Linked DNA regions of Tamandua tetradactyla. The protein of the gene in region 2 interacts with the protein of the main gene of each other region in a pairwise test. Links are inferred from orthologs where the notes say so. Each region holds a gene or a part of one and is shown on either strand. Other genes may lie near its edges.

Region 1 (15,690 bases), on a different chromosome or scaffold from region 2:
GAGCCTGTGGCCTCCCCATGCTCCTCAGTAGCCTCCTGCACCCAGGCTCTGCCTTGAGGTCCACTCCAGGGAACCATGTTGTCCTATCTATTACTCAGTGGTGTGAGCCCCTCATTTCCTAGTGGACACGTCTGAGTCACCTTGCAGCTGGGTGCTGACGGGGCGCGTTTGAAGGCGCCAACCGCAGGGGCTCCTCAGCTCTCCAGGGCCTGGCCCCCCACCCAAGGGACCCAACTTTGCCTGCCATCCAGGCTGGGGCAGCACTGAAGGAGTTGGGATCGACACACCGGCCTCCCCTGTGGGACTCCTTGTCCATGTTCACATGATGGAAAAGATAAGGAGCGTAAACTGCGGCTTTGCTTGGTTGGAGGTGCCACCGCCGTGCCAGCAGGCAGGGGCACTCCTCCCATATTGGTTTGTGTGCACAGGGACCACCCCCTTCAGGTTGAGGAAGTAGTTGTAGTAGGGAAGCCTGGGTGGTTAAGGGGGTCTTGGGAAGGGAGAGACAAAATGGGTACGAGCTGGGTTAGGGGTCCCTACTGTGACTTTGCAAGTGACAGGCACAGGTGCTGGCCTGGTGGGATGAGATGCGGTGCCTGCATCTTCAAAGCACTCGGCTTCTTACTATCATCCCTGCCGGAGGCTCTCCGAGGGACATGGCTTCAAAAAGGAGGGGCCGCCAGAAAGCGGGGGGTTGAGGCAGCCCTCACTGTCTGGCTTTCAAAGCCTCAGGAGTCCTGGAGGGATGGGCGGCAGGGCGCTTGTGTACCCTTCCCCCACTGCTCTCCGTGGTTCTTTTTCCGGGTGCTAGGTAGGGGGCAGAGGAGGCTCCTGAGGAGCAGTTGGGTGACAGCAGAGCGCTTCTTAGGGAGGGGGTGCCCAGCACATCACCAGGAGCGAGAGCTCGGTGGGCAGTGTCCCCAGAGGGATCCTGGGCTAGGAATGGGCTGCAGTGGGGGTTGGCCACACCAGCCCCTTCTCTGGGGAGACTGGCCCGATGCCCACGTTCCAGACTTTGCTGTGTCAGAACCACCTGGGGCATTTGTGAAATGGGACTGCCAGGCTGCGCTCCTGGCCTTGGGTTCAGGTCTTGCTGCCTTCTGCCTTCTGACTCTAGCTCAACATGCCTCATGGGCTCTGGCCACTACGCCTGGGGCTGGACCCCGGTCTATACAATGCCCACTGGAGACAGCCTCATCCATCCTTCGCCCTGCCTGGGCACCGTACCAGGACACCAGCTCGTCCCAGCAGGCTGCATGCACCCACGTACCTCATCGCAGTAGGCTCTCCATCCCGTCACGCCAGCGCCTCCAAGGCCGACAGGTTGCAGGGACAGGGTTCACTTCTGTTTGATTCGTGTTTGAGCATCTTGTTGTCTTGTTTACCTTTTGAGTCCCTTTTCTCTAAGTTACCTTTTTATCCTCTTGCCCGTTTTCCTTATTCTTTTTTTTTTTTTAATTGAAATGTACAGGACAGTTACTAAAATAAAAAACACATACCTCAACCAGAGAACTCCAGCAATCCCTACCTACCTCTCTCCCAGGTACCCAGACCCACCAATGTTAACATTTTGCCACATTTGTTACCCTTTCTGTCCATTTATTTATTCTCTAAACTATCGAGAGTAGGTTGCATGGTCTTTAAACACTTAATATTTCCAGGTCCTTTGACATAAAGCTACAGTCTGTATTCCACTTCTTTTGTATATCTCAATAATGTCCCTTTGAGCCTTTTCTCCTCCCTTGCCAGAACCCATTGAGGATCATGTATTGCCTTTGATTACTGTCTCCTAACTCCCTTTCTCCCTTCCTTCCATGGATATACAATATAAATTTTCCCATCTCAACCACTTGTAGTGGTTGGCTTTTTTTTTTTTTGGCTTTAAACACTTTAAATTTGTTGTTATACTACCTTCTATCTCCATGGTTTCTGATGAGAAATTGGCATTTAATCTTACTGGACTCCTTGTACTTGATACATTGTTTGAATTTTGCTGCCTTCCCACTCCTCTCTCCCTCTGGCTTGCAGCATTTGATTGTCTCGTGCTGCCCTGTCCATGTCGGGTTGCCCTCAGGTGCCTCCGGCTCTGCTGGCCGCTCTCCATGCTTTCCACTGCCTGCTCTTCAGGATGGGTCATCTCAGCTGTCTGCAGGTTCTCTGATCCTTTCTTCTGCGGGCTCCAATCTGCTATTGAACCTCCACAGGGAATTTTTTTTTGGAGGAGGGAGGCTGTACGCGGTCCAGAGATGGAACCCGGGTCTCCCGCCTAGAAGGCGAGCACTCTGCCACTGGAGCACCCGTGCACCTTCTGTAGGGAATTTTAATTTCTGCCACTGAAGCCTTCATCTGCGTTTGGTTCCTTTTCATAATTTCCATCCCTCTTTTGATAGCCTCTTTGTGTTATCACTTTCTTGATTTCCTTTAGTTCTTGCAGCATGTTTAGACCTCTTATTTAAGGAGGAACTGGTGCTCCTTGAGTGGTTTCTAACGGTTTAAACTTCTCCTCTGCCCGGCCATTGCTTCTTATTTCTTCATGTGTTTTGTAACTTTTTATTAAAACCTGGACTAGTTTTGATAATGTTAATGTGTTAGCACTGGAATTTAGATATGAGGTGTCTGTTCCTTAAGCTTGTATGTAGCTAGTGTTACCATAGCACTTTCCTTGAATGCCAGAAAGGAGGAAGAGAACACTGTCCCAGGCTTTGGGCACTGCCTGCGTGAGGGGGCCCGTCTTTGAGGTTTGGCCCTGGCCAGGTGTAGAGGCCTCCCTGGCCTTTTCTGTGCATACAGCCATGGGAATGTCCCCATTTACACAGAGAAACGTCTCTTCCCTCGGAAATGGCTTCCTCCTGGTTCCTGGCACGGAGCTGTGTCCTACAGCCAGCAACCCCTTGCCATGGGCAGCCCTGACTTGACTGCTTTCCTGCAGCGTTTTTCATGGCTTCTTCTACCCCTTCGAAGTCCGTCTGTCTGTCTGATGTTTATCCTTTTTTTTTTTTTTTTTTTGGAGCAGTTAAGTCATTTGTAGTCAATGCAGTTAATACTATATTTGGTTTTATTGTTAGCATCTCATTTTGGGCTATTTATCAGACCCATTATTTTTCTTTCCATTTTTTGCCCTTTCATGGAGGTGGGGGTGGAGTTGCCTTGGAAAGTCTTTAACAGTCTGGTTTTCCCTCTCTGACTGGATAGTGGTCCGCCCTGTTCCTGGTCTGCATTGTCCTAGAGTTTTTAACATGCGCACTCACTGTGTTAGGCTGAATCATGGCCCCAAAGATGTCCAGCCAGGTTCCAGCCCTAGATACAAGGTGAATATTGGAAAAGGGACTTTGGGCCCCTGAATAAACCTGCAGATGGCAGATTCTCCTGACCTATACAGGGCAGCCCTAAAGGTAGTAAAAAGGGTCCCTGCGAGAAGGAGGCAGCCTTGTGGCCTGTGAGAGTAGGTGCCACCAGCCTGTAAGGTGGAGGAGTCCCAGCTTGGAGCTGGAAGAGGAAAAGGTTCTCCTTAGGCCGTGCAGACACCCTTTGAACTCCCACCTGTATGCTGGTAAGAGAATGAACTTGTGTTGTTTTAAGTCACCAAAGTGGTGGTGACCCCCCTTACAGCAGCTATCGGAAACAAACATCGTCAGCGTCTAAAGTTAATCCTAGAAAATCTCTGTCTGCCTCCCAGACGAGGACCAAAGAGTGCTTGGACTCCGGGGGTCACCTTCTGATTCTCTTTTAACCCCACAGACATTGTGGTTTCATATACAGCCAGTGTTTGTTTCCATCTATGCATATTTATCTCTTTCATTTTTACTCATTCCTCCTTGCATATCAGATGTTCCCCTAGGGTCGTTTTTCCTTCTGCCTGAAGGGCAGGGTCTTTCCTGGGCTGGACTAGGATGAGACAGGCCTTGGGGCTGGCAGCAAGTCCCCGGCCCTCACACTGGATAGTTCACTCCATGGATTTTCCTTTTTCTTTCTGTTCTGACCTATTTTAAATTCATTAATTCTCTTAGACCTATCCATTGGATTTTTAATTTTGATGACTATATTTTTCTTTCTAAAGGTTCTTTTTCACATACACTGTATCATTTTTGTATTTCAAGACTCCTTGCAGGTGTTTGAAATCTCACCTTTAATGTTTTAAATACAGTGACCCGGTTGTTGTAACTGAGCCTGGTGTGCCCAGCGCCTGGATGTCTGAGGCTGCGCCATGTTGTTGCCTCCTGCCGTCCGCCGTCCTCTGTGGCCTTATCCGAGGAGGATTTCGGACAGTGTCTGTGACTGAGTCTGAGCACGTGTTCAGCGCATCCCCAGCCTGAAGGGTTTGTTCAGGGACACTCGGGTGGCAGGAGCTTGCTGCAAACCCTCAGGGGAAGCAAATGGCATCAGTTATCAGAGATTTATTTTTCCTTTTCTGCTGAGTACCAAGGTGTCTGTTCTGTTTCCAGCCCATGTTTAAGGGAAGGAGGAGATTTTCTTGTAGGTGCAGCATTGAGGGGAAGCCCCGCCTTGAGCCTGCCCTTTTACCCTGTAAGCCGGAGAGGCCAGGAAAACCCATGTTCCAGTTTACTAGTCTGACATATGACTCAGGGACTCTGATTTCTCACCTTTAGTGGGATTTTGGCCTGGAAATTCCTTATCATCATGTTAGTTCTTTGATGTTTCTAAGGTTTTTTAAAAACTTATCCAGCATCTTTATTTATCCAGAAATAAAACTGTAGCCTCTCTCCCCAGGTTGGTAATGGTGGCCCAGAGCTGGCAGCACCTTGCAGCCAGTGATGGGCCCAGGTCTCCCTCCCCAGAGTCCAAAAGAAGCAACAGGTGGAACTGGCAGAGAACTGTGTATTTGGGCTAAAGAATTACCTGCCCCCACTCCCACCACCACCACCACCAGAAAAAAGAAAGAAAATGGGCAAGTAATTGCAACACAAAAGATGGACTGATGGGTCATAACTATAATACAGGATGGCTTCTCCAGGGCTGGCTGTGGGATGGCCCGCGGATGCCAGTGGGTGATTGGTGGAAGGAGAGCAGGTGCCTGGTGGGGATGGAGCAAACTGCTCGCCTTCAGTAGTAATTTGAGCAGCTGGAGGTACCACAGAGTGGTCGTTTTTGCCAAGCATTGGCACTGTGATGGAAGCATGGGCATTCACCTCCTGCTGATGGGACCTTGACAACAGCAATTTTGTCAGTACTATCAAAAAGCTGTAACAATGTGCAAGCGATTTGCCCCAGAGATTCCACTTACATAAGAATCTCCCAAGGAACTTATTATATTATTATTATTAGATATTATTTGTATGTTTGCATGTAGACTTTTAACTATAAAAGATATTCAGGATAATGTATCCTGCAAAATGTTTGAAAAAATGAAAACCACGTACACACAAGTGAAAAATCACTTAGTCCAATCTTTTTAACCTCTTTGCTATTGTAAAGTAATATTTGCTTCTGCCCCTGTAGTCCCACACCCAAGGGTAACTGCTGCCAGTGTGTGTTCTTTTCACCTCCCTTGGGGTCTCTGCACACGTTCACCCACAGCTAGCCCCACGGTGTTAACACCTGGCAGTGCCCCGCACCCCTGCTGGCTGTCTTGACGTCCCCTGAGTGGCTGACCGTGGCTTGTCTGGGCTCTGCTGTTGATGAGCATGGTGGTGGTTCACAATATTTTTTTCTTACTTTCTTTTTACTTCTCTGCTCTAATAAACTTCTTCAAAGAACATACTGCACGTACATTTTCATGTTTCTGCCACTGTTTTCTGTGGGATTATTTCCAGAAGAAAAGTTACAGGGTTAGAGAACACTAGCTGCTAAGTTTTCAGGAAGTTTGAGAGCTGGTTGTTAAACACAGCCACTATGAAAACATCTACAAATTTACAGGTAAAAGGATCCTGGTAAAACGAAGATAATAAAGACTGAATGCTCAACATCACTTCATTTTATCATCTTCCCTGCTCTTCAGGGTCTCATAGCTATCTTATCAGTGTGGAAATGGTAAGTGATGGTGGCATCTCTCCCGGGCTTACTGAGCTGGAAATCATTCCCGTGGGACCTGGTGGATGCTCCCCGCTCCACCTCTTCCAGACTGCCCAGGGTGGCCACCGTGGTCACCCCTGTGTGCAATGAACTGCCTGCAGGAAAGCTGTGCTGAATCCACTTCCATTGGATGTTAAAATGTTACCTTTTTAATACGCTTCACTGTGAGAGACATCTTGATAACCTGTGCTTCAGTTTGCACGCTTTCTAGTATCTCTTGGCCGCTGGTATACTGAGTTGCCTGCTGATCCTTTGGTCTATTACTCTATTGGGTTGTCTGACTTAAAAGGGGGAACTGGAGAGAAGGAAAAAAGGATTTGGAACTCTGTCTTTTCTGGTAGAGGTAAAACTTCTGCTACAGGTTGAAATTACCTTTCTTTTGACTTAGCTTGTGATCTGTTTTCTCCCCATATTGAGTTGTTTGTTTTTCCTTTTTCCTCTTGATATAATCCAGTCAGTCTGCTCTTCCTCCAGTGTCACATTTGAGGGTGCCATTTGAGAGACCAAATATCTCTGAATGAGCCCAGACAAGGATCCATCTGGAAGTCTGTACACTTAAGTGTTACCGCTGCGTGTGTGTGTGTCTGCATGTGTATCTCACGGCATGATTGTGGTGTGCATGCAAGTGTCACACCTGTGCTCCTGTTCTGAATTCTGCTTCCTGTGAGCTTTCAGAGCCTTCATCTCTCCATGTGTCAAGTGGCAATGGAAGAGAATGGATGTGAACTCGCTTGGAAGGTGCGGTAAGTGGACGGTTTTCCCCTCGAGGTTCTGCATTGTCCACAACTGATTTTATGAGGACAAATACGGCAAGCAAGAAGGAAATTTCAAAAAAGTAGCTCTGGCCTCCCTCGAGGGAGACGGCAGGGCAGTGCACGTGGGTTGTGCACTGGCTACCCTCACCCAGCCTGGCTTTGTTTGCTGCCCCTGGCGAGGTCCGCAGTGCAGCCGCCCGAGGAGCTGTGACCCCAATCCTCCGGGGCACCCAGAGTCCCCGGGACCTGGCCAGCATGCTGTGTAAGCCCCCTGCCGGCAGGGTTCGCTCGTTTTCTGCTGGCTGCGCCCCCCTCCCCCGCCGGTACCCTGTCCCGTGCGTGACTTCCCGAGAGGGCGTTTGGGGCTTGGGGGTCACCTGCCCCAACCGGCGCCCGGATCGGTAGTTGGGGGTGCAGCTCAGGCTTCTCCCCGACCCCGACCTCCCTCCAGAGAGCACGCGCACACGCGGTCACGCGCCAGGACTTTACTCAAACACTAGGACCTCGCGGCGGGGGGCGGCTGGGATCCCGCACCCCATTTCAGCGGCATTTGGAGGCCAGCGCCGACGTCACGTGGCTCAGAAACTTGTCCAGCGAACCGTGCAGGGCGGGGCTGAAGTCGCCGGGGTAGTGCCGGGCGAAAGTCACAAGCAGACAGTGGTTCAGGAGCTGCGGGGGTCAGGGTCGCGCTGCACTCGGCCGACACTGCCTGGATCCCCGCCCGCAGCCTCCCTAACCCTCCCAGCGCTCCCCGACGCCCTCTCCGGGTTCTTCCGTGCCCGGCGCCCGCGGCCTCACCTTGAAGTTGATCGGGTCCACCCGCAACTTGTGCGCGTGCAGATCACTCAGGGCGGACAGCGCGCCGGGAAGGTCGTCCAGGTGGTCGGCGGCGAGGGTCAGGGCATCAGCCACCTTCTTGCCCTGGGCCTTGACCTGGGCGGAGCTGGGGCTCAGGTCTAAGTGCGGGAAGTAGGTCTTGGTGGTGGGGAAGGAGACGAAGAGCCTGTGGGAGGGAGTGGGTGAGGCAAGACCGGAGGTGGGCAGGAGCAGAGCCGGCTCCCACGGCCAGACGCTCCCCGAGCGCAGGTCGCTCGCGCAGCAGCCGAGCCGAGAGGTCCCGGACCTGCCTGTCCCCACCTCTCTAGGGCCTCGGTGGCGTAGACGTCGACATTGCTGCCCAGCTTCCTCCACAGCGCACGCACTGCACCCTTATCCGTCGCGGACATCGCCATGATGGCCCCGAGTCAGTTGCGCCTGCGCCCGCGCGCCCCGCTGCCACCCCCCGCGCCCTGCTCCCCGCGTCCCGCGCTCCCTGCCCGCCGCTGCCTCCTCCCTGCGCCTGGGTCCGCGCGCCCTGCTGCCCCCCCCTGCGCCCCGCGCTCCCTGTCCGCCGCTGACCCCCGCGCCCTGCTCCCCGCACCCCGCGCCCCACTGGACCCCGCGCCCTGCTCCCCACGCCCTGCTCCCCACGCCCCGCGCCCCCTTCCCGCCGCCCGCGCAGGGTGTGCCCTCCCGGGTCCCCGAAGCCTGCAGGGGGCACGGCCGCGCGAGTTGGCCTGGACCCGGAGGCACACTGTTAGGGTGCTTGTCTACCGAAAACGAAAACGGCGCTGCAGATGCATTACTACTGTTGAAATGGCACAGCCTTTTAGTGCGGTTTTTGGCGTTGAGCCTCCATTTGTTCTGCCTCCTGAGTATTTTCTCATTTATTTTATAGAGGAAATCGGGGATAAAGGTTTTTTCTTCACAGGGTTCTTGTGAGAATTAAACGGATAGGAAATATCAGGTGCCAGGCCCGTAGGTCATATTCATTTCAGAGCAATGAACGCTTATTGAGCGCCTATGGTATACCACAGTAATAATAGCTTACATTTATGTAGCGCTCACTTGGCTTTAAACACCACCCTATATGTATTTTTAATTGTGATAGAATTCACACAACATAAAATCTACCATTTTTAAGTGTATGATTCAGTGTCATTTAGTACATGTTTTGCACCTTCATATTTATCTAGTTCCTGAACATTCTCATCACCCCAAAAGAACCCTGTGCCCATTAGCAGTCACCCCCCCCACACACACCCTGACACCCCCACACCCCATCCCAGGCTCTGGCACCCACTGACTGGCTTCTCTATGGGTTTGTCTTCTCTGGACATTTCACACACGCAGATTCACACATTTGTCCTTTGTGTCTAGCCTATTTCACTGAGCGTGTTTTCAAAGTTTATACTGTCCTGTCAATCACAAATTCCTTTCTATGACTGAATAATATTCCTCTGGGTAGGTGGATAGACCACGCTGTTTTACACTCATCTATGATGGACATTTGAGTAGTTTCCTCCTTTCATGAGGCCCTAACCCAACCTTTTTCCCTAATAATAAGGTAATACTACTTTTTCTGAGAGTTCTGAATTCGATGTGGCAAACCACAAACTGAGGACGGGGCCTGTCGTTGCAGCTAAGATCAACTCCTGAGCCCAGGGAAGAAAGGGTGTTTCCCACTGTCAGAGGGTGGGCAGGGGTCCTTCTCTGTTGCCTGCTGGGCTTGGCACCTGAAAGTTACCCTTGGATGCCCCACATGCCAGGGCTTTCTGCAGGAAAGGGTGTCCCTGGCCCTGTGGCTCTTTCCCAGGGTGACACCAAGGATGGAGGTGCCAGGTGTCGGTGTCAGAAGGAGGGTCCTGGAAGGGCTCAGTGGAAGGGCCGCTCCAGGGAATTGCTTTGCAATTTCTGCACCTGCCCTGATCAGGGCAGCAGCGACTGTGTGTTTGGGAGGCTTTGAGGAGACCGGGAGAGAGTGGCACTCAGCAGGGCTCCAAGGGCTGTGAAGCCTGCCCACTCGGTCAAGGCTGACAAAGAGGTGTCAGGATGGAAAATGAATATATCACTTCAACAAACTCATGCCAGGTCTGGGAACAAAATGCAGAAAAGGGGGAATGTATGGGCAAAGCAGCCCATGCAGGAGGTCAGCACATTCCCCCAGTCAAACCGGCCCTGAGCTGCCCTCCCCCCTTCTCCCCTCCCCTTCCCCTCTGCAGGGGGCCCGTGGTCCCCGGCACCACACCCGCCGCCCGCCCCTGGCGCCTCGGCAGACATGGACACAGAGCCAGGTCAAAGCAGGCTGCCGCCCACGCAGATTTTATTCAAAGACCGGGAGGCTCAGGTGGGCGGGGGGGGCCCGGGGCGCAGACACTCCGGCTTAGCGGTATTTGGAGGTCAGCACGGTGGCCACGTAGGTGATGAACTTGTCCAGGGAGGCGTGGACGGCAGGGGTGAAGTCGTTCGGGAGGTGGTTGGCCAGGGTGACCATCAGGCACTGACCCAGGAGCTGCGGAGAGAGGCGGTGTGAGGGGCGGCAGGGCGGCCGGGGCCCCAGGAGCCCCGCGCCCCGGGGAAGGTCGCCGCGCGCTCCGTGCCCGGCTCCCTCCCGGCGCCCGCAGCCTCACCCTGAAGTTGATCGGGTCCACCCGCAGCTTGTGCGCGTGCAGGTCGCTCAGGGCAGACAGCGCGCCGGGCAGGTCGTCCAGGTGGCCGGCGGCGAGGGTCAGGGCATCAGCCACCTTCTTGCCGTGGGCCTTGACCTGGGCGGAGCCATGGCTCAGGTCGAAGTGCGGGAAGTAGGTCTTGGTGGTGGGGAAGGCGAGGAAGAGCCTGAGGGAGGGAGCGGGTGAGCGGCGGGGCGGGCGCCCGGCGGGGGCGGGGGGCAGAGCGAGGCCGGGGCTGCTCACCTCTCCAGGGCCTCGGCGCCGTATTCGCCTGCATGGGAGCCAATCTTGTCCCAGGCGGTCTTGATGTTGGTCTTGTCGGCGGGCGACAGCACCATGGCTAGTTCTCTCGGGGTTCCGCGTGGACACGGAGCGTGCGGGGCCCGGGGCGCTGGGCGCCTTTATGCGCGGAGTGCGGGGCCACGCCCGGGTGGGCGGTTCCGGGGGCGGAGAGCAAAGGGGTGGGGCGCTGGCCGGCGGGGTGCGTCCCACCCGAGTCAGGCCAGGTGTCCTGCAGGGCTGCTGAGCGCGGCCCTTCCCCCTGGGGCCACCTGGCCCCTCGCCTGCCCTTCCCGGCTGCTAGAGACCCGCCTTGGGCCAGGGCTGTGCCAGCTCTTGCACCATTTCTGAGCGTTTCTTGGCCCAGGTTGCACCCTCCTAGGAGCCAGAAGCTGGAAGGAGGGTTGGTGGCCCCACCCTGGACCTAGAGTTAGCACACACTGGTCTTTTTTTTTTTTTTTTTTTTTTTTTTAAAGGAAAGACAGAGAGAAGGAAGGAAGGATAGAAGGAAGGAAGGAAGGAAGAAAGGGAAACATTTTTAAACATTTTCTTGTTTTATTGTATTCTGTTTCTCCGTTTTTGTTACATGGGCTGGGGTCGGGAATCGAACCGAGGTCCTCCGGCATAGCAGGCAAGCACTTTGCCCGCTGAGCCACCGCGGCCCGCCCCACACTGGTCTTTTAAGGTGATAGGAATCAGTGAACAGGTGTGAGAGTCAGCAGGGAAGCAAGGCACGCTCCGCTCGCTGGGGCAGAAGGGGTTCTGCACATCAGGAGCCTGCGGGCACCCTCCTGTCTCCTGCAGCCTTAGTTCTCCCATCCCCTGTCTTTCCACAGTCGCCGAGTGCCACCAAGCACTGGTAGGGGCAAATATGAGACACAGAACTGGCAGGGTGGGGCTGGATCTCCCAGCCTGGCTCAGGCCAACTTGGCAGTGGCAGGGTCTCTCCATCTCACCCCATGTGAAGGGAAGGGGACAGGCTCTCCAGACGCTGAGTGGATGAGACTCAGTTTCCCCCCATGTGCCACTTTGGACCTGACCCATCCAGCTGCTGAGTGGGTGCGTAAAAAAAGGGCCGAAGGAGGCTACTGAGATGCCCACCAGGTGAACATGCAGTTGCCCCTTGTGAGCCACCCAGAGGGAGCGTGAAGTGGGTGCGGGAGAGTGGCAGGTGGCTGTTTAGTCTGAGGGTCGGGATAGGCTTCCCTAGGAGGTGAGAGCGAAGGATGAGTAAACATTAAATGCAGTCAGGCTGGAGGCTTGGCTTGTGTGGAGGTGGCCAGAGGGCGAGGCCCCCATGGCAGGACAGAAGGGAGGTGGGGAGACAGAGTGATAAGGCTGTAGGGACCACATGGAGGGGCTCCTTCTAGCTGCCAGTGAAGCAGCAAGAAGGGATGGGAGTGAGCTGGGGCAGTCGCCTTGCTGGTGAAGAGGGAGGCTGCTAGCTGCGGGGGTTGGGGGGCCCTCAGGAATGGATCCAGGGAGACATCACGGCTCATTCCCTTCCTGGTGCCTGCAGGAAGGCCTTGCTTTGGGGAAATCCCTGCTCCTCCAGGACCCTCACTCACAACTCCCAGGAGTTGAGGAGGAAGGCAGGACTGGGCTAACTTGTGCAGAGAAGGAAGCAGCTCCAAGCCACACTACCCTCTGCTCTGCCTCCCACCCAGTGCTAGGCTCTTAGCATCTCACACCAACAGGACCCCCCAACTAATCCGACTTCTTCTCCCTACCCTCTACCCTTTTCCCACCTATCCTGATCCTGTCCACAGCTCCAGCCGCAGTCCTGGCTCCAAAGAGCCCAGGGGTCAGAGGCTGGGACCTTAGGCAGCACGGGGCAGGACCAAGCACCTCCCTCCTTCCTGCCTCAACCCGCCCCCCACACACACCTGAACTCTTTCCCGGAAAGACTTGGGGAAGCAACACCATATGGGAAGAGCATCCATGTAAAATAAGGAAAAGAAAAATGGACAAAGGATACTAACAGGAACTTAACAGAAATGTAGAAATGACCCACGACACTGGGAGGAGACTGATCCGAACGAACTGGCCTGGAGGAATGGGGGATGGAGACAGGTTGCAGACCAAGTCTGCCTTACGGTTATATTTTGTATCAGCATTAACTGCACAAGGTGCAGTTCGCAGTGGTGGGACTGCAGGCTGCTCAGCGTAGGGTGGGGTGGAGGGCTGAGTGCCCAGCTCGCCTGGGCCCCTCTCCCGTGCCAGGGAGGAGTGTGCCCAAGTGTGTGCTGCACGGGCAGGTGAGTCCCTGCCCTTATTTTGAATAATGCAAGAAAGTGAGAGCCGTGAAAGCGTGGGTGGATTCTAGCGTGTTTTTGAAATTATAAGCTGTTTTTTTAAAAAAAAAAAAAGGAAAGAAAGAAAAGCAGTTTTAGGTTTACATAAACATTGTACAGAAAACTCAGTTCTCATCTGCTCTCCTGACGCACACCCAGGGTTCTCCCCCCTTGGTGACAGCTTGCATTAGTGTGGCCCACTTGTTTCACCTGAAGAACCAATATTGACACATTTTGAGTAACTAAAATTTTAAAATTAAAACGTTTTTCTATGTTTAAATAAAAGTGGGTCGACTTCAGGGCAGAGGCAGTGTTGAAGAGGGAAGGAAACTCCCCAGCAGTTCAGAGTGGCTCAAGTCCAGGCCAAGATCAAGAGAAAGAAAGGGGAGCACCTCACCACCCTTCTCAAATTTCTATCCAGGGCCCGGTTGCAGGCGGCCTCGGGGCCCGGACTGGGGCTGGGGCTGGGGCCGGGGCCCGGGGGCAGGCGTGGCCCTGGCCTGTGCGCGCGTCTGGGTGCACGCCCCTCTGCGAGTTTGGGGCAGGGTGTCCGCAGTTTCAGCACCTCGGACAGGAGCCCTCCCGAAGGAGATGTGTGCTCACGGCAGGGCAGTGGGAGAACTCAGCCTGGGGGCCAGAGAATGTAGGCTGCGCTCTCAGCGAGTAGGGACCCGACACAGGGCCGACCAGCTCGGCCCCCGCCCAGAGCACGTGGGGCCCGCGGGGCTTCGGTGCGCCTTCCACTGGTGGAAGGAGGAGGACCTTGGGGAAATTGTCCTGTGCCTGCGTGTGCACCGAGAGCAGCCTGCTTTGATCTCATCTGCGTGTGTAACTGTTGCTCGCTCAGGGAGATCGCAGAGGAGCGCAGCCACCCTGGAGCTCCCACTTCTGCCTTGGGACCTCGGCGCGTTCTGGCAGTGCGATCCGATCCCGTCCCTTCACCATGCCCTCCCCCCTTCTCCCCTCCCCTTCCCCTCTGCAGGGGGCCCGTGGTCCCGGCACCACACCCGCCGCCCGCCCCTGGCGCCTCGGCAGACATGGACACAGAGCCAGGTCAAAGCAGGCTGCCGCCCACGCAGACTTTATTCAAAGACCGGGAGGCTCAGGTGGGCGGGCGGGGGGGGCGCAGACACTCCGGCTTAGCGGTATTTGGAGGTCAGCACGGTGCCCACGTTGGTGACGAACTTGTCCAGGGAGGCGTGGACGGCAGGGGTGAAGTCGTTCGGGAGGTGGTTGGCCAGGGTGACCATCAGGCAGTGACCCAGGAGCTGCGGAGAGAGGCGGTGTGAGGGGCGGCAGGGCGGCCGGGGCCCCAGGAACCCCGCGCCCCGGGGAAGGTCGCCGCGCGCTCCGTGCCCGGCTCCCTCCCGGCGCCCGCAGCCTCACCTTGAAGTTGATCGGGTCCACCCGCAGCTTGTGCGCGTGCAGGTCGCTCAGGGCAGACAGCGCGCCGGGCAGGTCGTCCAGGTGGCCGGCGGCGAGGGTCAGGGCATCAGCCACCTTCTTGCCGTGGGCCTTGACCTGGGCGGAGCCATGGCTCAGGTCGAAGTGCGGGAAGTAGGTCTTGGTGGTGGGGAAGGCGAGGAAGAGCCTGAGGGAGGGAGCGGGTGAGCGGCGGGGCGGGCGCCCGGCGGGGGCGGGGGGCAGAGCGAGGCCGGGGCTGCTCACCTCTCCAGGGCCTCGGCGCCGTATTCGCCTGCATGGGAGCCAATCTTGTCCCAGGCGGTCTTGATGTTGGTCTTGTCGGCGGGCGACAGCACCATGGCTAGTTCTCTCGGGGTTCCGCGTGGACACGGAGCGTGCGGGGCCCGGGGCGCTGGGCGCCTTTATGCGCGGAGTGCGGGGCCACGCCCGGGTGGGCGGTTCCGGGGGCGGAGAGCAAAGGGGTGGGGCGCTGGCCGGCGGGGTGCGTCCCACCCGAGTCAGGCCAGGTGTCCTGCAGGGCTGCTGAGCGCGGCCCTTCCCCCTGGGGCCACCTGGCCCCTCGCCTGCCCTTCCCGGCTGCTAGAGACCCGCCTTGGGCCAGGGCTGTGCCAGCTCTTGCACCATTTCTGAGCGTTTCTTGGCCCAGGTTGCACCCTCCTAGGAGCCAGAAGCTGGAAGGAGGGTTGGTGGCCCCACCCTGGACCTAGAGTTAGCACACACTGGTCTTTTTTTTTTTTTTTTTTTTTTTTTTAAAGGAAAGACAGAGAGAAGGAAGGAAGGATAGAAGGAAGGAAGGAAGGAAGAAAGGGAAACATTTTTAAACATTTTCTTGTTTTATTGTATTCTGTTTCTCCGTTTTTGTTACATGGGCTGGGGTCGGGAATCGAACCGAGGTCCTCCGGCATAGCAGGCAAGCACTTTGCCCGCTGAGCCACCGCGGCCCGCCCCACACTGGTCTTTTAAGGTGATAGGAATCAGTGAACAGGTGTGAGAGTCAGCAGGGAAGCAAGGCACGCTCCGCTCGCTGGGGCAGAAGGGGTTCTGCACATCAGGAGCCTCCGGGCACCCTCCTGTCTCCTGCAGCCTTAGTTCTCCCATCCCCTGTCTTTCCACAGTCGCCGAGTGCCACCAAGCACTGGGAGGGGCAAATATGAGACACAGAACTGGCAGGGTGGGGCTGGATCTCCCAGCCTGGCTCAGGCCAACTTGGCAGTGGCAGGGTCTCTCCATCTCACCCCATGTGAAGGGAAGGGGACAGGCTCTCCAGACGCTGAGTGGATGAGACTCAGTTTCCCCCCATGTGCCACTTTGGACCTGACCCATCCAGCTGCTGAGTGGGTGCGTAAAAAAAGGGCCGAAGGAGGCTACTGAGATGCCCACCAGGTGAACATGCAGTTGCCCCTTGTGAGCCACCCAGAG
Region 2 (17,447 bases):
AAATTCATAGAGTCCAAATATAGAACATAGGTTAGCTGGGGTGGGGTTGGGGTAGGGAATAGGGAGTTAATGCTTAAATTGCACAGAGTTTCTATTTGGGTTGATCATAAAGTTTTGGTAATGCATGATGGTGATGGTAGCACAACATTGTGAATGTATTTAATACTATTGAATTATATACTTGAAGGTGGTTAAAATGAGAAAATTTAGGTTGTATATATTACCAGAAAAAAAAAAGACATAGAACTGTATAACACAAAGAGTGAACCCTAATGTAAACTATGGATGACAATTAATAATATAATAATTTGTTTCATCAATTGTAACAAAAGAATCACACTAATGTAAAATACTAACAGGGAAAAAACTCTGTACTTTACAGATGATAATTCTGTGAACCTACAACTGCTTTACTAAAAAAAAAAAAAATAGGAAACTTCTGGATTTGTAGAGAACAGATTTTACATACCTCTATTTCTCCCAAATGTAAGGGTCCTCCTGAATCTGAAAAGGAATTGAATGTTTCATCTGGTTAGTATGAAATTGATATTTTGATAGTTTCGTAGTTTGTAAATAAGCACAAAGTTTACAAAAGAAAAAAATCTTACGGTAACAGCGAATATCCATAGCATGATATTCTCCTTTGTGATAGAAAATGACCACTTCCCTATCATGCACAACAGCTGTCAATCTTTCACGTTTTTTAATGTCATCTTCTCTGCCAACACAGACAGAAGAATACTCCTTCTTTTCAGGATTTTGTACAGAGTCATTAAGATCCATGCTACACAAAACAAAACAAATAAAAAAAAAAAGAGAAAAACTGCAAGTTGCCTTCATTCATTTGGCTAAAACTTAACTCACAGAGATAATTATATCGATTATTTCTCCAAAATGAGGCATTTTTCTGTAGGTATATAAAATAAAACAATCATAAATACCGGAAGTAGTTAGCCAGAATTTTGAATTAGAGACTTTTAAAGGCTACCAAAATTAGGAATGACTCCCCACTCTGAGCTAGAGTCATAAATTTCAATGCTTAAGACGGAAATTTCAGAATTCTAAAATATAGAGATTAAAGTTTCACTATCCTTTTATTCCCTATCAAATTCAAAGTTTAACAATATCTGGTTATTATCTGCATTGTTTTCAGTCTTCTGCTGAAGATGGGATTCTTGAATAGTCTGACCAGATCTAGGCCCCTTGGCTGAGGTGTTTCCTGTGTTTTTTTGCCTGGAGTCTACAGCCAGCTCTTACAGGCACAACCACATGATTATTCTAGCAGGGTGAGATAGGGATAAAAGGACACTTTTTATTTTCTTACCTTAGAAATTGCTGTTCCAATCATTACTTCCTTCTGCCTTATTCTGGCATTCAGAGAGATGGCTCTGTCTTCAATTAATTTATAGAGGTATATAAGCCAATATTTCTAACAAAAGTTTTAGTAGAGCATTTGTAGGTATTAGATACACTTTTTTTTTCTCAGCACAGATATGTAGCCTGTCTTTTTAAAAGCAACACAGAGACCATCTATATAATTTAAGAACAGAATCATGGTATGTTTATTCCATTTGAGAAGGAAACATCATGATACATCAGTGTTAGGGATCGCAGGCCCCATGCAGAAGGTTTCCCTGAGGGTTTCCCATTTGGGGTGGCATTTAGTTTTTTTTCTATCATAGTTTCTAAATAAAACTATATATATCCTGTTTTGCCAACAACTTTCATATTTGTTCATTATCCACTCCTAGTGTCAACTCTATCCTGTTATTCCTAACCTCTTCCTATTAGAGACAGGAGTTGCCATCCCAACATTCCTGCTTTTCCTCCGTTCCTCTGAAGACAGATTGAGATGCTTTTGGCTGTAATTTTCAAAAAGTTAATACTGTATATACCGCGTATAAATTTATTATCTTAGGATTGAGCTTTCTTCCCAGGCAACAGCATATTTTGAATGTTCGCATGAAAATAAAAATTACAGGACCGAATCAAAGGGTTTTGCTTTTCATTTATTACCAATAATTACACTATTGGATATCCCTATAGGGTTTCTTCTCTCTTTTGGAGAGTGGATATCTTCAAGCATCTAGACAATGTCCATTCCACCAATAATATAAGAGAAGCTCACTCCACAATGAGGGTGAACAGGAGAGGGGTTGCCTGTTTCATTCAAGTGAGATTCCTGTCTGCACCTAGAACATTATCTTGAAGCCGAGCTACTTCAGCCCCTTTACTGTTCGACAGAATTAAAAAGTTTAAGACAGATGACAGAAATCAAAGGGACATAGTAACATCTAATCACAACCTACTTTGGGACACTGATGGACAAGTTTCTCTAGAGTCTATTTAAGGAGACATAATTTTTTTAAAAAAATAAGCAGGCAAAACTATCAAGGACTGGCTATTGATAATAACCTTTAGCACAGAAGAATTATAAAATAAAAAGAAAACTTTCAACAATAGCTCTTCGGATTCTCCAGCAAAGTTCTACTTACTTATTATTGATGATCATTCATTTGAAATTTTTTTCTGAGCATCCACTATGTAACTGGCATTTCAGGAAGTGAGACAGACAAGGTCTCTGCCCTTCCAGAGATTATATTATAGTTGGTGAGACAGATAATAAGTAAATACATAAACAAGATAATTACACACTATGATAAGAGCCATAAAGGGAATAAACTGGGTAACATGAGAGAGAGTAAGAGGGAGGTGATTTCACAAAGTGGTTATGAAGCTGAGATCACAGGTGAATTGAAATCTGAACAATGCAAATGAACTAGATATGATAAGAGCTGAGGAAGAGAATTCCATGCTGACAGAGCAGCACATACAAAAGCGGGTAGGAAAGAAAAGGCTTGGCTAGCCTGAGGAACATATGGGAGACTGAAGCATAATGAATATGGAGAGTGGCAGGAGACTAGGTTGGCGCTGTAGGCAGGAGCCAAGCTGTGCAGTGTTGTGTGTGGATTTTATTTTAAGAGCAATGGGAAGCCACTGAAAGATGTTAAGCATGGAAGTGTGACATGACTGTTTTAAAAGATCATCCTGGCTGCGTGGCAAATGGATTATAGCGAAATGAGAGGGGAAGGACACACAGATATCAGAAAATTATGGCAAAGGTTGATGGGAAGGATAATGGTAGGTGACAGTGCAAAGACGAAAAAAAAAGTAACAATAATAGAGTAGCTACAATTATATTGTGATTACTATGTGCCAGGCAATGTTTTAAGACTTTACACCTATTTCTCCCAACATAATACTATAAAGAAGATACTATTACCTTAATTTCACAGTGAGGAAACTGAGGCAAAGATAGATTGGGCTGGTGGCCTAGAGTGAAGGAACTGCATAAAAAGAAATAAGGATGACTCCCAGGTTTTACGTATGTGCAACAGGCAGACTGTAGTGCCAGTGACTGTGATGGGAAAGACTAAGAAAAGAATGGTATTTCTTCAAGGCTGGACAATCAAGAGCTAACTATATTTTGCATACATTGACTTTGAAGTGCCTAACAGCTATCCAAGTGGAGATACCAAGTCACAGTCAGATATATGAAATCGGAATTGAGTCACCAGAGACATAAACTCGGGAGTTTTCAAGTTAGGTAATTCAGTGAAATCACCTGGAAAATGTGTGCAGATAGAGAAGATGGTTCAGGACAATTCCTGAAACACTTCAACATTTAGCTGTGAAGTAGAAGACAGACCTGCAAGAGGCTGAAGAGAGGCAAGGTCAGAGGTGTCCAACCTATCGATAAATGGAATCCATTCACTGCTCTCTACTTTATCCCGTATTCTCCAGAAATGCAAAATAGGCAGGCACTGAGGCAACATCCACTACAATAATGGCCATCTCTGTGCATTAAACTATGAATGATATCTGAATAAAACTTGGGTTTTCTAGGAAACTGTAGTTATCCCTAAACTTTGATTTTTCCGTACAGAACTGGGTCTACTCTGTATGCTTCTCTCCTAGTAATTTCACTTATTCCCTATACTTTCAGCCTCCTAGAAGTCAAATACCAGCTAGCATCCAAACAAGGGCCTACATCTATAACATAACCATTCCTACTTGCTTCTTCTCGTATTTCTAAAGTTTGTCTCCTATTGCATTCCTTAATATCTTTTTGGCCAAATATAGATATTAAAAAGTGGGAAAAGTCAAGACTACGAGAAATCTGTCAATATTGTTCATAGGGACAGGCTAAAGGGTAAATTCTACCCTTTATGAGTCTGACTCAGTCCTAAAATCAAAATAATGATTACTATATACCACCATACAATACTTGATAAGCATTCTTCAGAATTTCAAGAACACACAATCTGCCCTAAAAATGGCATATGTGATGATAAATGCACAGCTAAATGATGGTATTGTGAACCAATGATTGTACACTTGGATGATTACATGGTATGTGAATATATAATATATATCAATAAAAATAATTAAGAAAAAGGCATGTGTCTGTATTTTCAACCCAAAATAAGTATTCAGTCATCTTACAAAGCCTCGATAGATGTTTACACTGGACACAAGTCTCCCAAAATAAAATGTGACAACAATTCTTCTAAAGATTATGGCAAAGGTTAGGTTTTCTCAACATTTTCATTTTTCAGTTCCATTTTTATGGGATTTCATCATTTTATGGATTTCTTTCATCATGGTTAGAACTTACAGAAAGCTCCAACAATTTGAAAGGCATCCAACTCAGGCTTATGCAAGATAAGTAATTACATATGGAAAAGGAAAGGAAGTGAATCAAAATGATGGCCCATGTTAGTTGTAGAGACCCAACTTCTATTAAAACATTAGGAAGTTCAACATGGAATGCTCATGATACTAAGTTCACATATATTTATATGCAATTTAAAGTACTTAAGAAAATTATAAATCAAATGTCAACTTCGGATTTCGAATTTTAGGAGGCTGAACTTTCATAATCTATATCCTCTTTAAATAGAGTAATAGTGTCATATTTCATAGGAATTTATACAGGATGACAATGTATCTTCCTTGATCAACAGGAACCTGCCATTGTAATTTCACTCAAGTCTCAAGTTAACATTTTAAATACAAACACACACACACCCAAACTATTTAACAGAGGCACTTGGATCTTGGTATACCTAGCTTAAAATGGTTGTAATCTATGAACACAATCCCCTCCCATCAAGGAGGAAAGCCTTTTATATGGCAGTGTCAAGAGGCCTTTTGCAGAGAATTTTCCTGATGACTTCTCTAAATATTTACTGAATCTTGTATGACTGTCTAAGTTCAGAGAAAAAGAGCATTGGCTCATCTAAAAAATAAGTTCATAAAACAGACTATTATTCACAAATAGAACCTCTATGTGTACGCATTAGGAACATTTGGACAGAAGGAATTTATAAGCCACATTTTAATCTACCATATGGGTAGATTAGACCCATATACAAGACAGATATCAATAGATATCATGTACAAATGTGGACTCCAAAACTGAGTTAGAGTAGTGTGTGTGTGTGTGTGTGTGTGTGTGTGTGTGTGATGACAGGGAGAGGCAGGATCTCTGAATTCAATGAATAAAGAAAGCATCACACAAATCAAGCTTAGTAAGTGTAGGGATGTCAATTTTTTTTTAAATTTCCAATTATAAAACTTGAAAAAAAAACTTCGTCATAACATATAACAGCATTTTCCATTTTAACCACTTTCAATTATACAATTCAGTGGTATTAATTACATTCCCAATATTGTGTTACCATCACTAAAATCCATTATCCCAATTTTTCACCACATCAAACAGAAACTCTGCATTCTTTAAGCAATAAAATCCCTTTTCTCTTCCCTCACCCATTGTAATCTACCTGTCTCTATGAATTCGCACATTCTAGGTATTTCATCTAAGTGAGATCACTTAATGTCTATCTTTCTGTGTCTGGCTTATTTCACTCAAACATAAGGGATGTTAACTTTGTACTCTGAAGTTTGCTTGCTAATCTATGTACTAACTAACTTACTTACAATAGGATGGGAAAATACTACATATGCTTTTTATAAAATTATTTCATAAAAAACAAGTGTGTGTGTGTATTAAAAAGAAAAGACAAAGAGGAATCATGACCATGCTTTTCTGGGTTAGCCATGGCTGAAAGAAGGCTGACACACTGCTTTTCTAAACAGTCATCAGCTTTTACTTGATTCTGGCAGCTACCCAAAGTAGAACAGACAGAGGAGCAATAATAATAAAAAATGGGAATTGAAAGAGAGAGAAACAGGCTGAAAGAAAAGAAAGGGAAGAAATGTAGAATTTGCAACACATACAACCAACAAAGTATATATTCATAATACACGAACAACATTTTAAGATAACTAAGGAAATGCCAAATAACTATGGAAAATGGGCAAAAGACATGAACGAATATTTATTTCACAGGTGAGAAATCTGAATGGCCAACAATCATATGTAAAGTGTAATCTCATTAGTAGGGAAAAGCAAAGTAAATGCAAAGCAAAGCCACAAATGGGATACCATTTTCTACCCAATAGATTGGCAAAAATTTATACCAACTATTGGTGAGGATATGGAGCAACTTCTAGTGAGGATATAAATAAGTGCTACCACAGTTTGGCATCACTTAATAAAGCTGAATGTCTTCATGACTCAACAATCCCACTTTAGGTATATTCCATAGAGAAACATGCATAGGTACATCAGAAGACATGCACAAAAATAGTTATAACTATAAAAGACTGGAAATAACTCAAAAATTCATGAGCAGTAGACGGGATAAACTGGATTAATTTTTAAAATGTAACCAAAAATAATTCAGTATGCTTCCATTTTTACCAAGTGCAAAAACAGGCAAAACTAAACAATGTATTATTCATGAATACTATATATATATATATGGTAAATCTATAGAAAAAAGCAAGGGGGATAATAAACATGGCTCCAGAAATTACCTTTAATTTTTATTTTACTCTTTTCTATGTTTAAATTGTATCCTACTTTATATTTATGTAGCGAATGACCTAAATCCCAAGAAAAACAGGATAATGTCACTTTATATCCTCAGAGAATGTGCCTGTGCATAGATCACGATTGAACTGCTTGAGACTTTTGTACAACTCATTTCAAAACTTGGTACTAGAGGAAGAAGTAAGGGACTAGCCCCCCCCCCCCCTTTTTTTTTCTAGGCAAAGCCTACAAATACTAGGATCTAGGGAGGTAACAAAATACATGAGATGCGGACTAATATTAAAAATTAATTATGTTCTTCCCTGTCTCTGAAAGAATGAGATTCAAAGACAGTTCTCCTTTAAATTTCAGGCTCTTCAACCATACAGTCAATACCTCTAACCAAGAAAAACGGTAGTGAACTTTGTGAGGGCTGATAAGAAATGGGCAGAGAAGGCTGGGACTAAATGATAAAGGTTTCAGAGAACTATGATTATGTTACAGCCTTGCATTTTGAAAGAATTATTTCATCCTTCAAATAACTGTTTCCATTGTGTATCATAAAAGGCACTATTTATTCAGGATATCTGGTGACCATTTATATTTAACATTCATATTACTCTTTATCAAATATTGTGATTATCATGGTCTATTTGGACAACAGTAATGGAGTCCATGGTACTGTTACTATTCATATACTCCCACACATTTCCTCTACTTTGAGTCTACTCTGAATTAGCAGAATCTTAGCTGAACAAAAGGAAATAAAAAGTTAAATGACTCATCTAGTTTGGGGGCTTGATGAAGAAAGCTTCCTGCTGAAAAATTTAGCCATTTTGTTCCATAATTCATAAATTTCTTTGTCCGGCGCCTAAACTTGGGTTTTTATAGGCACTTACTTCATAAAAAATAACAAATTAGCTAAATGGGTTCTTAGTCTCTATTAGATGTCTTTGGTCATAGGGAATACATTAAAGGTAGATTTAAAAAAAAAAAATTAAAGTTACATTCCACCTGACACTAAAGACAAGAGACATGGTCAAAGTGGGAGAAATAAAGGTACTTACTTGTTACTTCTCTTGAGTACTTAAGTAGTTTCTCACCTCTGAGGACTTGGTCTGCACATTATCAGAATACATAGTTCCAGGGTGACACCCTTGCTTTTAGCTTCACGGAAGAAAAAGAAATGTCTTTGCTCGTAGTTTTGTATCTTGTTTTATGACAGAACAATAATAGATAAAAGTAGCTTTCTGCTTGGACACTTCGCATGTATTATTAGCTCATTAATCCTCAAAAAAAATGATAAGGAGTAGGTACTATCCCTATTTTCCAGATAAGGTTAAAAAGTTTAGCAAAACTCACAAAGCAGCAGACTCAGAATTTAAATGCAGTTCCTATGAGTCTAAAGTAGGTGACGACTGATACATAAACCCCAACATTTCATCTAGGGAGCCTGCAAGGAACGTATCCTGAAAGGACTAAAACTTTTTAGCAAAGCAATGGTATATGCAAATTACACCAAAAAGGATGGTCGTTATTCGTGTTTCGTCTTTGATTTTAATCTGGGAATGCCAACGCGTCAACAGATGTTTAAAGTGGAATACTCCTCTAAGTAATTCCCTACTAACTTTAACACAGTCATACCGCCGCGCTGAAATTCTCCATGGTCACCTAGTGACATCAGAGATCCGGTTCAGGCGGGCTGGGCGCGGGGTCGAGTCCCGGCTGAGCACGTCGCTAGCAGCGTGCTTCGGACCATGTTGCCTACTCCCTGCGTGCGGCGGTTTCCTGGTTTGCAAAAAACCCGCAGGACTAGCACCTGCCACGGAGGTGTGGTGAAAGACAAACGGCTTTAATACACAATTATCTGGAGCTGGGTCTGACGGTGGAAAACGCACAAAGAATGTTAACCGTCATCTCTAAGGTCCTTCCAGCTCCGAGCGTTTTTCCGTCCAGGCTGTATTTAACCTTTTAGGAAAAAAGACGGTCTGCGGTTCTCGGGCCGAGCGGTGCTCACAGGTCCAGGGACCACCACGAGAGCCTAAGGATGGCTCTTCAGTGCTGGGGATTCTCCCGCCTGCAGACTTGAGAAGACGAATATCTAAGGAGGAAGGGACTGCAGAAATTCTGGAACGGGGTTTATATTTTATGGTGCAGAAATGCCAGGAAAGCTTGTTAAAAACGTCCCACCTGCCTCTCTGAGGCGACAGATGCGGGGCGAAGACCAGATTCTAGTTCAAAGTGAACAAGCTTGTTGGGCCAAGCTGGGGCGCGCGGAACCCTCCCCTGCGGCGTTAACCATTAACCAACGCCGAACCGAGGCCTGGGTGGAGGGTGGGGGAAGTGCTCGGAGGCGCCGGGAGCAAAGGCCACACAGCACCGCCTCCTCCAGGTGCCACGGGTCGCCACCGGAAGCCCGAGCCCGGGCCTCGTGTCCTGGCAGGAAGCAGCGGCCCAGCTCCGCGCGGAAGAACAAAACTTACTGCGCTCCAGTGCCTTGCCCCGCCTCCACCGTCCCGGCCAGCGGTGAGCAGCGCCTGTTGCGACTGCGCACGCTTAAGCACCGGGCCAAGGAGCGGTGCCTCCGCGGGGCGGGGCGAAGCCAACCACGTGACCCGAGCGCTCCCGCCCCCCCTCCGAACCCCTCCTCGGTTTTGTCCGCTGGTGACCCCACCTGTCAGTGACCCCTGGCCATCCACGCTCTGTCAGCACCTCGGAACTGGCAGGTTTAATCGTATGCTTGACAGACTTGGGCGGCATCAGTTTATTTTTAAAATGTTTGTTGATCACACCACATTTTCCAAATATTAACTGTACTCAGCGATTTCACTTTTGGAACTTTGCCCTATAAAAATATTTGCAAATGTTCGTCAGGATGCATGTTACCTATGTATCCGGATGTTTGTTGCAATGCAGGGATGAGAATAATCAAAGAGGTTTTCAACGGGGGAATGATTGAAATACAATGTAGACGTGAATTAACTTTGTAGCCGTGGAACCAAAGGACAAATTCCATAATGTAATGAATGTGAAAAGGTACGTATGTATAATATGCTCTCTTTAGTGTAAATAAAAATTACTTCTAGAGATAAAAATATGCACGGATATACATAAACTTTTTAAAGGAAATAACAAATAACAGCGGTCGCTCTCGCGGGAAGGAGGGCTTTCAGGTTCTCACTTTTATTTTTTGAACCATGCAGTATTTTCTTTTTTAGTAAGATGCATACTGCGACTATATAATCAAATAATGAACAATTTTTTGCTCTCTTTTTATACTTATTTGAATTAAAAAGAAAATTTCATAGTTGTGTGCAAAGCAGGAAACTAGATGAACGTACTAGATTTTTCAAAGTGTCCTTGACTCTTTATTATCTAGCGCAGTGGTTAGTAAACTGGAGAGTTTAAAAAAATCTTGGTGCCCGGTCTACATCACAGACCAATGAAAGAAAACACTTTGTAGATGGGGACCAGGGACCAGTGTTTTGAAGACATTTCCCAACTGATTCCAGAGTGAAGCCAAGGTTAAGCACCATGGCCACAAAGTAATTTACATGTCTGTTTCCCAAGAGAATCGGGGTCTCATCTGGACCTGCTGTCTCAGGACGGCGGGGTTAACAAGCTTTGGTGGCCGTTCCTTCATCCTACAGTACAAAAACTGCTCCAGGGTTCCTACAGCAGTTAGTGTGCCACACCTGGCTTACAATGGGCCTCAGGCAGTTGAAGCTAAAGAGCCTCGTCCATTTATCCCAGTGTGTCATACAAGTGACACTTTTTTTCTATGAGCCTCAACATATAATGGTTGAGGAACCCCAATTTTGGATTTGCTCCCAATACTAGTTTCTCCTGATACTATTTAGTTCAGAATAGTTTGAGGGCGATTGGTAATATTTGAGGGGATAATTTCCTTTCTGACTCTTTGTTTCACTAAGCCAAAAACAAATGAACCATCTAGTTTGGTGTATCAAATTATTTAATGAATAATCAGATATAATTTGATTTGTAACCATCCCGGCTTGTGTTACTGAAGGACTAAATAAGGTTTACCATTTCTAATGAAAAGCCCTTCTCTGTTGCTTTGATATATCTGAGCATTCAGGTATACAGAATAGACACATCTTAGTTACATCCATCTTAAATCTAATTTTGGATAAACTGAAAGCCTCAGCAGATATGTACACATATCTACCCAAGAAGAATGCAAGAGAGAAGTGAAAGCTTTCTTTCATCTCCATCTAATGTATTAATGTGGTTACAGTCATGTGATATATTATGAAAAGCTGTAGGAGGGGGCAGAAAAAAATGCATTTCTTCATTTCCCCCAACACCCACCCACACACACACAAACACCTTTGGTAACAGCAGGAACCCTTAAAGTCTGTTTGAAATTCATTACAGTTCAGGAGAAAATTTATGACTTCTGCTGTTACTTTACTATATTTTAAATTGCAATAAAGCAGGTCTAGCTAGCTGTGGGCACTGCTTGACAAACTTCTAACTGAGACCATTTGGAGACACTTTCTAAGTCTTCTCTCCTTGGAATCAAATTGCATCTTTGTTCGTTCTTCATTTATTCCTTCAACTTCTTTGCCCTGTGCTTCTAACTTTGTCCTACTACTGACACCTAGTGGTACCTCTGGCATGAGTTTTGTTAACAAACACCTCAGCTTTCCCTGGGCGACCTTGACTCTCAATTATGCTCATGTGTAAAAAGTCTCAAATGTCCTTTTCACCTTTGCAAGCCGAGCTCCACACCCCAAACTCTAAGCAGCACCACGCTGTTTCTAGACAGGGTTTTCCAGACCAAGCTCTTCCTCTCAGAGAGATGCAAAAATTGCCTTCTATCCTAAGCCAGAGTCTATCTTGTGAAACCAGCGAAAGCATCCGTTGTGCTGCTAGTCTCACTACAGGAAGTTTTAAAGGATACCAGCAAAGCTGGGTTCTCTCCTCCTTTAAACTGGAAAAGGATGACATGATCGCCTTTGCAGGCTCTTGGGACTCAGATCATGAGAAGTTCAGGGTGGCGTATGGCTTTGAACCCCACCTGCTTATGGCTCTAAATTAATGTCTCCACATCAGTTGGGCTGCCTGTTGGCATTTGCACATGGATATTGTGCGAGAACCAATGGTGTTCACCAAACATCCCAACTGCTACCCCACATTTCCTAGCCCCTCTTACGGCTGGTGGAGGGCATATGAATAGTTCGTATTGCCAATGGGCAGTGGGTGAAGTGAAGTGTGCCACTCCTAGACTGGTGCAAAGAAGAGCTGATATGAGAACTCTTCTTTTCAGATCAGAACAATGAGCAACATTCTAGATTGTGGAGCCTCCCACCAGCCTGGGCCCTTAAGGGACTATGTGGAACAGAATCCGCCCCAGTTTCCACCAAGCTGTGAAAGTAATGTAACTTCAATAGGAAATAAACTTCCGTTGTGCTAAGTCACTGGGATTTTAAGGCTGTTTATTATTGTACATTGTTTAGTTTACCCTATCTCATAGCTATGTCCAATTTCCTGTGTTCAAAATGTAATTATTAATTTTCTCGCATAAACCTGCATTTCCTTTGTTCTCTCCATCTCCCTGAGTGTCCGCGCTGCCCGCCTGCGTGCTTGCGGTGGCAACCTGCCGGTCCCCTTTCCTCACTCGCCCTGTGCAGAAAAGACTTACCCCAGGAAGCCGGAGTCCGTTACCATTAGAATGGTCTGCGTAGGCGTAGCCTTGGCTGATGACTGAGAAGTGGGCTGGGAAGCAGTCCCCACACTGATATAACAGTTTACCTAAATAATCGGGGTGCCCTACGCTGCCCAAACCGTTTGTACATGCCAGCAGCATGGTGAGCATCAGGGCTGTAAAAGTACGGGATGTGTGCTGTGGTGTCTGGCACAGGAAGGCATGTGGGTCCTAGAGGAGGGACAAGATTTTAAGTGGGTAGAGCCAGAAACTAGTCAATGGAAAATTCTGTCAATCATCAGACTTTTGGTAAAATTGTGAGCACAAGATTCTGTTCTTGTCGACAGCACACGTGGACTATACTGAATAATAATACAGCATGTAAAACTGTAAAGCCACCATTTATCTTTTTTTGAAGGAAAATACATGAAATAGAATTTATCAGAATTCTTCTGTCTGAAGGACACAAACCTGTACCATAAACAGTGACTTTGTTTTATGCATCCTAATTTTAAGAAAAGATTAACTGTGTTATAGGAAAGATTGAATTGTCTTTCTATCTTCTTTATATAAAATATTATCGTGGGGGGATGCAAGGGTGGTTCAGTGATAGAATTCTCGCCTTCCAGGCAGGAGACCCGGGTTCATTCCTGGTCCATGCATTTCCCCAAAACAACAAACAAGCAAACAAGGAAAAAAAAAAAAAAGAATTCAACAAATGCTGCTGTAATCACGGGATACTCACATGGGAGAAGAATGAAATGTGACCCCTGCCATGCAGCATAGTATATATATATATATATATATATAAAATCGTAAAATTGTTATCATGTTCTATCAATTAAAAAGAGGATGACTCATGCTATAGGAAAGACTGAATTACTTATTTTCTTTATATAAAATATTATCATAAAATTGTTATCCTGTGAAGAGAGGATTAAAGAGCACATAGACAGAAATGTAGGCAAGAAGTATTATAGGAGTGTGTCTGGCAATTAATAAATATGTTTGCTATTATGTCAGTTTTCACATTTGTATTTTTTGTAGTTATTTGTCCATTCTATTCAAAAGATTTGCTTTCATGCCTTATTTCCATTCATCATTTTGTATTCTTTTTTTTTCGAGTAGACAGACCCTCTCCACACTGTATAGACTTCAGGCCCCTGAACCTGGATCCACCCACAGTTGACACTGCAAGTTTCATGAGTTTCCAACGTCAAATTGTCTGTGACAGGCCTGGGTGCGCAGCGCTGCCCAGGCTGTTCCAAATTCCATTCTGCATTGTGCACCGGGGCCCCCAGGGAGTGGGACTGGAAAAGGACTGACCTTGGATTCATGTAGCATGTCCACATGCTCAAAGGCCCTCTATGCCATCAGGCGGTGTCAAGGTGGCTCTGGAGTAAACTTTAACTAGAGGTCAGTTGCTTAGCCAGACCTGGCAACAACAGCCACTGAAGCAAAGGCCTGAAAAGACATGCCCCCAGGAAAGACCCTATGGCACAGGACACAGAAAATATGCTGAATTAATTCCAGGGCTCAGAGTAGAAATGTCAATCAAAGATCTTTTAATATACAAGAAAAGTAAGATACCCGGAGATTGAGGCTGCAACATTTGTAAATTCCTAAACTTGCTAGAAGGCAGGAATGAGTCAATTGGCTCTAAGATAAATGCATACATGAATCTTTCTCACCAGATTTGGTAAGCATGGTGTCAAAATTAACCAAATTATGGGACTATATCTCCCAACTGAGTTTACCCTCACAGGTTGTAGATACGAACTACTTGCATTGACCAATGGACAAACAGCAAGGGGAAGCTAAAACAAGATTCTCTCCATAGTTTTTCCTCACACCCTAAGTGTCTACTAGATACTTTAGCAACATGAAATACTGGTTCTGGAAATTAAACTTTGCTTGACTAACTGCTCTAGGGACAGGGAGTGTTTAGGTAGGTGAGGGGCTAACACTGCAATTGTGTTTTGGGTGCCCTTATCACTTTTCATTCTTTTAAAAAAAAAAAAAGGTAAGGCTCGTCAGAAAATGGCCACTGAACAAAACCAACCTCAGAGGTCCTAATGGAATGACATATTCCAGGGTGAGACGGGCCAGGCTCAGCTGCTGAAGGACCCATAGCTCCACACAGCCTTCAGGAACCTTTCCAGAGAGTCTGCAGAATCTGAAATTGGGGAGGGCTTTAACTTTTTCACACAACAAAGACAGGAAAATTTGATTTTTGAACTTTAGATTTTAATTTCTTTGAACTTTTCTTGTAAGAGAATTTAATCTCTGAACCTCAGCTTCCCCCTAGACATTGTTTCAAAACTCAGACATTGTAAAGGAGTTTTTTGTTGTTGTTGATGGTGGTGGTAGTTTGTTTTGTTTTTAATTGGACATTGCTAACCCTAGATGGGAGAGAGTCCAGTAGTGTAAGTCGAACTAAAATCCTTCCCCATGAAAACCAAGGGGCAAGTAATATGTGTTCTCATATGACACTCTGCTGAACTATGTGTTTCTGGCACAAATGTAAGGCTTTGAGGGAGGGCTCTATCTAGTGCCCAAAGTCTCCACATCTGTTGTAGCAGGCATTACCAGTCTTTAACATACTGGCTGATTACACCCTTTTTTGTTGCAGAATTGCTTAAGTTCATGCCACTTGTTTCCTAAGGATAATTTCCCAGAATTTCTCATGTTTGTTCCATCTTGGGTATCACCTGTGACCTATTGACTCTGATATTGATGTTTCTGCATTTGGTGTCCTCAGGTATTAGGCAGGATCTGCCACCTGATCTTTGAGACAGTGCCTTTCCTCAGCCATGAATATTCCAAGCTTTGTATAATGGGATCTGACTTCGGAGTTTCAGTCTCTTTGCTGTACCTCTGTTTCCTTTAGGAAGGCTCAACAGAGTTTTTAACAGTTGAACCTGCTTTTTAAATTGATCTCTTTCCTTCTTTGACGCATGCATTCTTTGCCAAAACTGAGTTCCTTTCTTTCTTCCTTCCTTTGTTTTCTCCTCGCTTTCTAGCCCAGACGTGAAAAGCATGCAACGTTTAAACAAATTTTCCTTTAGTTGTATGGTCCCAACAGGAGACAATCTTCCATCGGATCAATGTCTAAGCCAGATCTGTACTTGTTTTACCAAAGTTCAATCTGGTTCCATGTGCACACTGGGGTACATGTATGCCTATGTCAATCTGTTGGGTAGAAGTCCAATGGAACTGAATCGAGAATTTAAAAGTCAACCCTCGTATTTTTGGCCAATTGATTTTTTACAAGGGTGCCAAGTTCATTCAACTGGGAAAGAACAGTCTCTTCGATAAATGGTGCTGGGAAAACTGATGTCCTTAGGCAAAAGAATGAAGGTGGACCCAAACATCACACTACATACAAAATTTGATTGTTGAATTCAAAAATCAACTCAAAATGGATCATAGACCTAAATATGAGAACTAAAGCTATAAAACTCCTAGAAGAAAATGTAGGGAAACATCTTCAGGAGCTTTGTCTTAAGCACTGGTTTGTTAGATTTTATACCCAAAGCATGAGTAACAAAAGAAAAATAGATAAATTGGACCTCATGAAAATTAAAAACTTTTGTGCATCAAAGGACTTTATTATGAGAGCAAAAAAGATAACCTACAGAATAGGAGAAAATATTTGGAAGCCATATATATAATAAGGGTTTAATATCCTGAATCTATAGAACTCCTACAACTCAACCACAAAGGAACAATCCAATTTAAAAAATGGGCAAAAGACTTGAATAGACATTCCTCCAAAGAAGCTTTAAAAACGACCAATAACAAATGAAAAGATGCTCAGCATCGTTAGCCATTAGGGAAATGTAAATCAAACAGTTTGGGGGTTCATCAAAAAGGTAAGTATAGAATTAGCATATGACTGGCAATCCACTTACAGTTATATACCCAAAAGAATTGAAAGCAGGGACTTGAACAGATATTTGCATATCAGTGCTTAAAGCAGCATTATTATTCACAATTGCCAAAAGATGGAAACAACCTAAGTGTGCATCATCTGATGAATGAACAAACAAAATGAAGTATATACATACTATGGAATATTATTCAGCTGTAAAAAAGAATGACGTTCAGATACATATAACAGCATGGGTGAATCTTGAAGACATCACGTTGGGTGAAATAAGCCAGATACGAAAGCACAAATATTGTATGTGGTATGAAAAAATTAGAATAAGTAAATTTTATAGAGTTAGAGACTAAAACATGGGTCACTAGGGTCTGGGTTTGGGGGGAAAAAGGGGAGATAATACTTCAATTGTTCAGAGTTTCTGTTTGGCATAATGGAAATGTTTTGATAATGGATGATGATGATGGAAGCACAACATTGGGAACATAATTAACAGTCCTGAAATGTGTATTTGAATGTGGTTAAAAGGGAGATTTTGGAATGTATATATGTTACTAGAAAAACAACAACAGCATAGTATGGTAGAAGACAAACAATGAAACTAATGTAAACCACGGACTACAGTTAATAATGTAATAATGGTCTGTCATCAATTGTAACAAATGTGCCAAATTAATGCATAGTGTTACTAATAAGGGATGTATGGAACTCTTCATTTTGCATGATTTTCTGTAAACCTACAACTTCTCCAATTAAAAAATGATCATAAAAAAAAGACACTAAAGAGACAATCAAATACAGTGTGTCAACTGTGATGGGTTTTGATTCAAAGGAAAAATAACTATACAAATTATATTAAGGACAAAAATGAAAACTTGAATAGGGACTGAGTGTTAGATGATATTAGAATATTACTGTTAATTTTCTTATGTGATAATGCTTTGGGG

What was found.
Region 1: the proteins of RFESD (region 2) and hemoglobin subunit theta-1-like interact in binary tests that used the Homo sapiens proteins (3 or more experiments, as listed by UniProt). The two-hybrid records come from large-scale screens. The link is inferred for Tamandua tetradactyla from reciprocal best matches to the Homo sapiens genes RFESD and HBQ1.

Annotation. Positions count from the first base shown.
Region 1 is NC_135349.1:57,155,110-57,170,799, forward strand, and holds hemoglobin subunit theta-1-like, read right to left. Parts: upstream 8,070-15,690; 5' UTR 8,018-8,069; coding exon 7,923-8,017; intron 7,789-7,922; coding exon 7,584-7,788; intron 7,455-7,583; coding exon 7,326-7,454; 3' UTR 7,256-7,325; downstream 1-7,255. Other genes in the region: hemoglobin subunit alpha-1/2-like, read right to left, coding at 9,988-10,116, 10,235-10,439, 10,517-10,611; hemoglobin subunit alpha-1/2, read right to left, coding at 13,986-14,114, 14,233-14,437, 14,515-14,609.
Region 2 is NC_135347.1:35,486,773-35,504,219, forward strand, and holds the start of RFESD (Rieske domain-containing protein), read right to left. Parts: upstream 9,533-17,447; 5' UTR 9,427-9,532; intron 9,407-9,426; exon of another isoform or gene 8,111-9,406; 5' UTR 8,011-8,110; intron 1,393-8,010; 5' UTR 1,325-1,392; intron 785-1,324; 5' UTR 784-784; coding exon 609-783; intron 505-608; coding exon 470-504; intron 1-469.